2 linked regions of the Oryzias latipes genome follow. The protein of the gene in region 2 binds, or shares a complex with, the protein of the main gene of each other region. Links are inferred from orthologs where the notes say so. Each region holds a gene or a part of one and is shown on either strand. Other genes may lie near its edges.

Region 1 (3,358 bases), on a different chromosome or scaffold from region 2:
ACTGGAGTTAATCAAAACATATTTGATCAGAGATTTTAGTAGTCTTTGTGTGCCGAGGACATGGTTATGTGGAAACACTACATGCCATCTCTGTGATACTGAGATTGTAGAGATTCCTCACTGATTTGAAAGTAGTAAACCGTATTTAAGCTGGAAAGGGATGCAGCCATCATTGCATTGATCACCTAATCTTGACATTTGTCATCTATGACATAAATAAATGCATGTTAGATGAAGCGATAGCCTTGACTGAGCAGTCTTTTCAGATTAAGCTAAAAAAATATCAAAAATACAGTTTTTATTGGATAAACCACTAACAGTGTAAAAGCACTGTTCCGTCACAGCATGTCCGATTTCATTTTTCACCAACGCTTTGGAGGTGCAGAATTTGTCTGCATGAGCTACACATCCAAATAAGTGATTCTCTTTGGCTGGCTCCTAGATTTGTATTTTTTTTTCTCTTCCTTACCTTAAGGATGATTGAGTTGCTCTAGAAATTGCATTTTGAGCTCAAGGATTGCATAGAAAATAAACGTGTGGGAACCAGTGGTATGCATTGCTCTCAATGTCTGCAACAAGATACAAACATCTAAGACAATTGAATTGACTGATGTACACAGGTATTATTTTATCAATAAAAGCTCTGAAATAAAGAATTTGTCCGTTGATTGATTCTGAAAAGCAAATTTTATTTATAAATAATAATGGGTCCAAAACATTCTTTACATGTGCTTTGATTGCCATTTAAACTAGAAATAATGAGTGAATGAAATAAAATGCTCAATCTCTCCATCTGTTTCCACACTGAGCATTACAGCATTTGTAGAAAGTCGTCATTGGTTCATCGGCTGATCTGGTCTGGATCTGCATGAAGTAGGCTCGAGGATGCTCGCATTTGGGACACGTTTCTGTGAAAAAACACAAGCAAACATGCATATATGTACACACATGTTCAGAATTTTAGTTAGTTCTCGGATTGAACTTCTTTCTGTGGCCCACATTCAGGTTGGTACTCGCCATAGCATCACACAGCAACACTGCCTCTAGCAAAAAGTAGTCCATTTAAGTGTACTACAAGTATACTTAGAGTGAGGCAGTGTACTTGAAGTTCAGTCTATATATAGTAAACATAAAATGTCACAATTTAGTCAGAATAAGTGTTAAGTTAATGTACTCCCTACACGTTACATGGTCAGCAGTATATGTGCAATACTTGCATCCAAGTACACTTAATAAAATAAACTTCAAGTGTACTTGCAGCTAAGGGTGACTATTAACACCCTTTAAACACGCAAATGGACTGTTTCAAATAAACTTTAATTTATTCCTATGGAGAACATATTTGTCTTAGTAGTCAAATTAGTTTTTCTTGGCCTTTGTTTTATATTATTCTCTAGTCTATCCATGTTTTTTTTTAATTCTTGGTAACAAACTTGTTTGTTACCTGCAGTAGAATCCACGTTCTCCCACGCTGCAGCTCCACCCAGCACATCATCCACCTCTTTCAGCTTGGGATATTTTCGGTAGTTTACCTACAAATATTGAAAAGTTTGAGATTAAAAACCACCCTAAGAAATGTCGTGTTTGTTTCTCGAGTCAGAGTCAGACAGTGATAAAAGGAGCGTACCTTTCTCGTGACGTTGTGCACATAGGGACAAGTGTTACAAGCGAATCTCAAGCATTTCTGTCCTTCTTCTACGATTAAAACGTTTCCACAAGTAGGACAAAAAAGAAGCATATTACCAGATTATTTAAAGAAAAACTATCTCGGGAAAGATAGTAGCGACTACGAAATTCATTAGCAAGGAGAAGCAAAGCGGAAGCAGTTGCTCCGGTTTTACAGCTCGGTAGGAAACAAAAAAAAAAAAAACGTTTGTTAAAAATGAAATTGTTATTGTTAAAGAATGTATATAAATGTATAAATATATGTATAACATTATAAATAATATAATTATTTTAAAACCCCACCATCCGCCGCATGAAAAAAAGTTCTTACTTTTGATAAGCGGAACTATTTATCATGTTTTGATGATACCACCGGTATAAGGTCTGCGACACACAGCATTAAAATTCACACCAGTCTTGGGATACATTTTTGTAAACAGTATCCTATTATTATTATTTTAAGAATCTTTTGTACTTAATTGAACGCGTCAAAAAAGAGAAAGCGGTTTCATTTTTACTGAATGTATTTATTTTTAACCAATAATAGATGATGGAGCAGGAAACCGACGAAGGAGAGAATCGTTTGCAGGACAGTCACAGTCACAGTGAGGTGAAAGAGGAGAAGCTGGCTGATGAGACAGCTCCAGATGCCGAGGAGGAAGATGAGGAGTCTCTTCCACATTCAGAGATCCTTGATATCTTCGAAGAGGGACTTGCTCGACTTGTGCAGGACCCTTTACTGTGTGATCTGCCGATCCAGGTCATAGAAAAACACCACACTCCGCACACCAGGCAGATGTTTAAAGAAAATTTTCATAAATTGTAAATTTAACACTAAAGTTGAAACGCGTCCTTCTTCCGGTTTGTCTGACGGCATATTTGCATAGCAGAAAATAGCTGCATATATATTCTTGAAAAGCCAAATCGAATCCAATTTCAAAACAATCTTATAGCTCTAATTTATGTTTTCTCTCCTTTTTCTTCTTGAAACTGTTTATACGATTTAAGAATTATATACGAATAGCAATGAAATAAATGTTCTAATCTAGAATTAAGTACCAAACATGCATAATAAAAATAACAAAAACACAGGTTATAATCCATAACATTAGTATTGTCAGTATTGCTCTTGTAACATTGGACTATTATACAATAATCACATTTGTTTTTTTTTAATCTCATTTATTATTAAGCCCAGAAAGAAATCTGTTATTTACAACTGGTTTATCTTTCGTATTTGCAAATTTGTCTTTGAGAAAACATGAAATGTCTGCAGTTATAAAGGATTAACCAAGTCCATTTGACTGATTTTTTTTTTTTTTACCCTCTACTGTGTTAGAAGGATGAGAATCCACAATCTGCAATATTTTTGTGTTCAGGTGACTTTGGAAGAAGTAAACTCCCAGATTGCATTGGAGTATGGGCAAGCAATGACTGTGAAGGTTGTTAAGGCAGATGGGGAAATCATGCGTAAGTTCCAAAGTCTCCCAGCTGATTTGTATAATTAGTATGTGTCTATATTGTGTTTGTATGACTATGTCTGTGTTCACTGCCTGACTCATCAGACCTCATAACCTTCTTCTATCGCTCTGGAGTCCAATCTAAATGTTCCCTGACAAACGTTTTTTTTCTGGTTGGCCTTAATGGTCAGTGGGTTTTTTTTTAAGGGTGCACAGCTCTTGTGTCCCGCATT
Region 2 (4,296 bases):
ATCTAGACCCACTAGACAGTGCGCTGAACCTTTTTTCTTCAATGATTTATGATCTTCACTGGTGTCCATGGATTACATGAAATCTTTCCACCTTTATCCACCTTTGTCATGGTAGGGAGAACACGTCAATGTAAGGGTGGGGTCATCTAAGATAGCACAAGGGTTAAAAGCATCTCAAAAGTGAGAAGGGCGACATCTGCAGGCTGAGTTTTAGAACTGCATGTTAGTGGATGCTAATGGAAATGGCCTCATTTGTGTTCACTGCAACAACTGCTTTATAGCTGCTTTGTATTGAAAAAAATATTTTTATTTTAAAAGGATACAGATTGCAGAGAGACAAATGGTAAACAGGGAGTGCAGTTCTTTAAGAGGCTCCATATAGTTTTGGAAATTCACTTTTTAAAATGTACTCTAAGAGATAATCTGCTCTAGAATAACTGATTTAGGACAATATATAATTGCTGTTGCATTATGAAACCAGATTATTTCTTAATAGAGGGAGCCTTCTACACTTGGCTTTAGGTGAGTAATTATTGGTTGCTAAAAAAGATTTTTTCGGGACACACCACACCCCAGTGAAGCAGCATCAGAAGTCTGCACTCCACATCCTGGTGTTACTCAGTTTGCTAAAAGAACGGCTGGATTTCTCTACTTGATTTTTAGTCAAATAGTGCAATGTACCCATTTTAAGGATTAAATATTTCTAAACCCATCACAGCCATAACCTCAACGCTTAGCTAAAGCAATAATAAGGCTTTGCTTAAACGGGTCATGAGGGTCTTTTTGGTTTGCTGTATAAGGTATTGTTAACATTGTCTTGTAATAGCTGCTTCAATAGATTATTAATGCGTTACAGGAATGGGCTCAAGCCTGGATTTACTGTGAATTGCCCATTCAAACTAACCCTGCAGACAGGAATAGCATGAAAAAACCAGAGTGGTAGAACCTGTAGGGCAATCTACATGTAACAAATGAAGTTGCTGATGGATGCATGTGAAAAAGTGCATGTTTTGGGTTAGATTTGAGCCTTTTTGGGTTGAGTTAACAAAAATACAAATATGAGAAAGATCTCATTTGTTATACAGAGCTACCATAGGAATACATGAGTAAATTATTTAGGAAAAAAAGATAAAACATTTAGAAAGACATGAAAAATACTTACAAGCTGAATTTCCACTGCACTCTGAGGCCGTTGGTTTAACAGCTGCAGTTTTTCTGCCCTTAAAGAGAGAAAGATGGCAAAATTTTAACTTTGAGACATTTTTATCCCCAAACTATACATCATTTATTAAGCGGAAATTACAATTGAAGCCCCAGAGGGGTGAAAAATATTATCTTTTAGATACTGACTTGGTCAGCTTCTGAGGCATCATGGTGGTGAGGAACTCTCTGACAATTTCAGGACTCTGTCTGCTGCATGGCGTCTTTGACAAATACTTTAGAGTCTGAAAGCAAATGCAGGTGAGAACATGGACTGGATTTGACAACTAAAGCTCAGACAGTATGAATAGTACCCACTTCATACATGATGGTGTTGAGGTCCTGTTGCCCGAGGCTATGTTTGCTTTTTCCAGCATCTTTCCTCTGTTCTTTCAGGTCGGTGAGAAGTTTGAATACCTGAGACGAAGACATTATTTAGCTTTTCTGAATAATTAATTTCATTACCAGGCAGGAAAATCAACAAAAACCCTTAATAGACAGTCTTATAGTCTCACCTCATAGTTACTGAGCATGGCCGCGTTTGCATTTTTTCTGTGTAAAAAAACCCAAATAACAATTGTTAAACATTAAATTATGAGATAATTAAAATATCTGTTACCAAAACAAGCTTTATAAGATTGGAATATTTCCCATGTAGTTTATATATTTAGTAAACATTTTTCTTCTGTGATTTGATCTTCACATCCTTGTGTTACTAAAAGAACGGCTGGATTTCTCTACTTGATTTTTATTTATATAACGAAATTTTCTTAATCGGAACCTCAGATCTTCTCTTTAATGAACAGCAATAATTTTTTTTTGTGTTTTCCCTTTTTAAAAACTAGAAACCCATCAATTAGATTATTTTAAAGCCGTTGAAACTTACTGAAATAGATATTAGCAAATGTTTTTGTTTTTCAAGTTTGAAGAAGAAAAGAAATACAATTAAAAAAAGCAAACTTTTGATAAATATAAATAAATCTAATGAAAAACAAGACAGAATACTGTTTAAATTCAAACCTGTTTCCCATATTTCTTTGCTTCAATGTTATTTAGAAAAATTAAGTTTGTGATTTCAGGCAAATATGAATTAGATCAGAGCTCAAGTGACAAGTTGACAAATGTTGTGGAGTGCGGCTGAGTTGGCTTATATTAGATGACAAAATGTTTTTTAGCTGCTTCATCATGTCATAACTAATTCATTTATTATTGAAGAGCCAACGCAGAATGTGTTTGTAAATGGAATGTTTCATGATTTGAAACAAATATTTGATAACACAAACTCAAACTAATCCGACCCGTGCTTTTTGTTTCTCCCATCTTCTGAAATTTACGTTTATAAACGATTTCGCGACCTTTTGTCCCGTCTCTAACTTCGTCCCCAAACATAATACAATTTAAAACATTTGTAGACTGCAAACTCTTCAAAATGGATCAAAGTCTCCCGGACTCAATATGTTTTAATTCAGTTGTTTTGTGTGTCGATCATCATCTCTCCATTTTTTGGCCGACAGCATCATCCCAACGGAACAAGCAAAACATCACATAATAAACCCGAAACTGAAACACGCACGAAACTACCATCGATCACAATTAAAATTGTACATGTAAATATACATAAAAGACTTATTAGCCGTTGTTTTGTTCTTAAAAAAAAAATCTTACACTTCCATGTCGACTCTTAGGTTCCGTTACAATAAAGGGGTTCGTGTAGAAAATAGGGGAGTATATTGGTTCCGCCTAGCAAAAAACGCATTTTTACATAGAACGTGGGATCAGAGAAAACAGAATAAATATTTAAAAAAGTGAAACACTGCCGAGATGTTTGAAAATGAAAAACAATGTAAGAGTATCTCAAAAAGTGTAAATTCGAAAGCCCCTTCACCAAACAGTTCAATGAAATTAACAAGGACTTCCAGAGCCTCATGCAGCAGCATCAGGGAGAAGGTGAAGTACACCCTGAACACATCGAGGGTTATTTTAAACATATTAAACATTTAACATTTACTGTTAGGGTAAGGGAACAAAAAAGGAATACACTAGAAGTCACTTTTATCAGATTTTAATACAGTTTCATTAGTCATGATTTGAAGCACACAGTATTGAACACTTTTTGCTTTTTAAAAACAAAAACAGAAAAAGTACAATGAATTTTATGCTACTGCACTGAGTAATGAGTAATCTATATTTGAAAAAACAAATAAATCCCAAAACATAATAAAACAACCAAAAAAAGGAAACCTTTTGTTGGCATTTCTTTTCAAGAACTTGATACAGGAATGAGTCAAGACTGAAATGTAAGAATTGGACATCCATACAAGTAAAATATACAAGAGTGAACAGATTTTTTCCAGCATTATTTTTTCTCTGAACTGGAGAGTGATGGTTAAAAATGTTTCTGGGACAGAAAAATCACATAATTATATTAAACAGGTGCATGTGAATTGCTTGGAGCAACAATAAAGTAAACAATAAGTGCAGAAATTAAAGCTTTAACTTTTATTAAAGCTGAGTTTAAAGCTTTCGTTTAATTTTTGCTTTTCACTGCTGGAATTTCTTTGTTTTACTGCAGTCAAGCCCAGGATAACTATAAAATGAGATGATGAGACCTAAACAACCTCCATTGGGACAGGTTCCTCAGTTTGGCAGAAAAACTCAAGGAATGTTTGTACAACTTTGTCATCCACACAGCTCCTTGCAGCTTCTTTGAACCGTTGGTTATTTCTGCTCTCAACTATTTTTTTGACACCGTCTTTGACGGCGGTGCCTCGAGTGTAGCTGCAATCAAGATATTCTCTCAAAACGTCAAACTTTTTTCCCTCCACCATTTGGATAATAAAATCTTCCAAAATGAAATGCAGAGGTTGGGCATATTCAACAACAGCCCGTCTTTCCATCCCTTCTTTGTCGTAGGTGAATCCTCCTGAATGCATTGCAACCACATTGCAGTGGTTGTCAAAAACAGGAGAGCCAGAGGAGCCTTCGAAAAAACTAGATTCGTATTTCAAAAGTTTATCAGCAAAGAAATACTTGGTTATCAGGGGAACCCTATCAACAACCTGGCTGTGTGGAACAATCAAACAGGGGTCGATCTTT

The links.
Region 1: crcp (region 2) and polr3k share a complex: the UniProt entries of both Homo sapiens proteins name them as parts of the RNA polymerase III complex. The link is inferred for Oryzias latipes from reciprocal best matches to the Homo sapiens genes CRCP and POLR3K.

Annotation. Positions count from the first base shown.
Region 1 is NC_019866.2:8,138,520-8,141,877, reverse strand, and holds polr3k (DNA-directed RNA polymerase III subunit RPC10), read right to left. Parts: upstream 1,845-3,358; 5' UTR 1,739-1,844; coding exon 1,628-1,738; intron 1,533-1,627; coding exon 1,445-1,532; intron 909-1,444; coding exon 781-908; 3' UTR 669-780; downstream 1-668. Other genes in the region: snrnp25 (U11/U12 small nuclear ribonucleoprotein 25 kDa protein), read left to right, coding at 2,213-2,425, 3,045-3,135. UniProt on the Homo sapiens protein: Core component of RNA polymerase III (Pol III) which synthesizes small non-coding RNAs using the four ribonucleoside triphosphates as substrates. Can mediate Pol I proofreading of the nascent RNA transcript.
Region 2 is NC_019872.2:8,448,881-8,453,176, forward strand, and holds the start of crcp (DNA-directed RNA polymerase III subunit RPC9), read right to left. Parts: upstream 2,950-4,296; 5' UTR 2,874-2,949; coding exon 2,866-2,873; intron 1,753-2,865; coding exon 1,716-1,752; intron 1,618-1,715; coding exon 1,519-1,617; intron 1,446-1,518; coding exon 1,351-1,445; intron 1,221-1,350; coding exon 1,163-1,220; intron 1-1,162. Other genes in the region: protein FAM111A, read right to left, coding at 3,810-4,296. UniProt on the Homo sapiens protein: DNA-dependent RNA polymerase catalyzes the transcription of DNA into RNA using the four ribonucleoside triphosphates as substrates.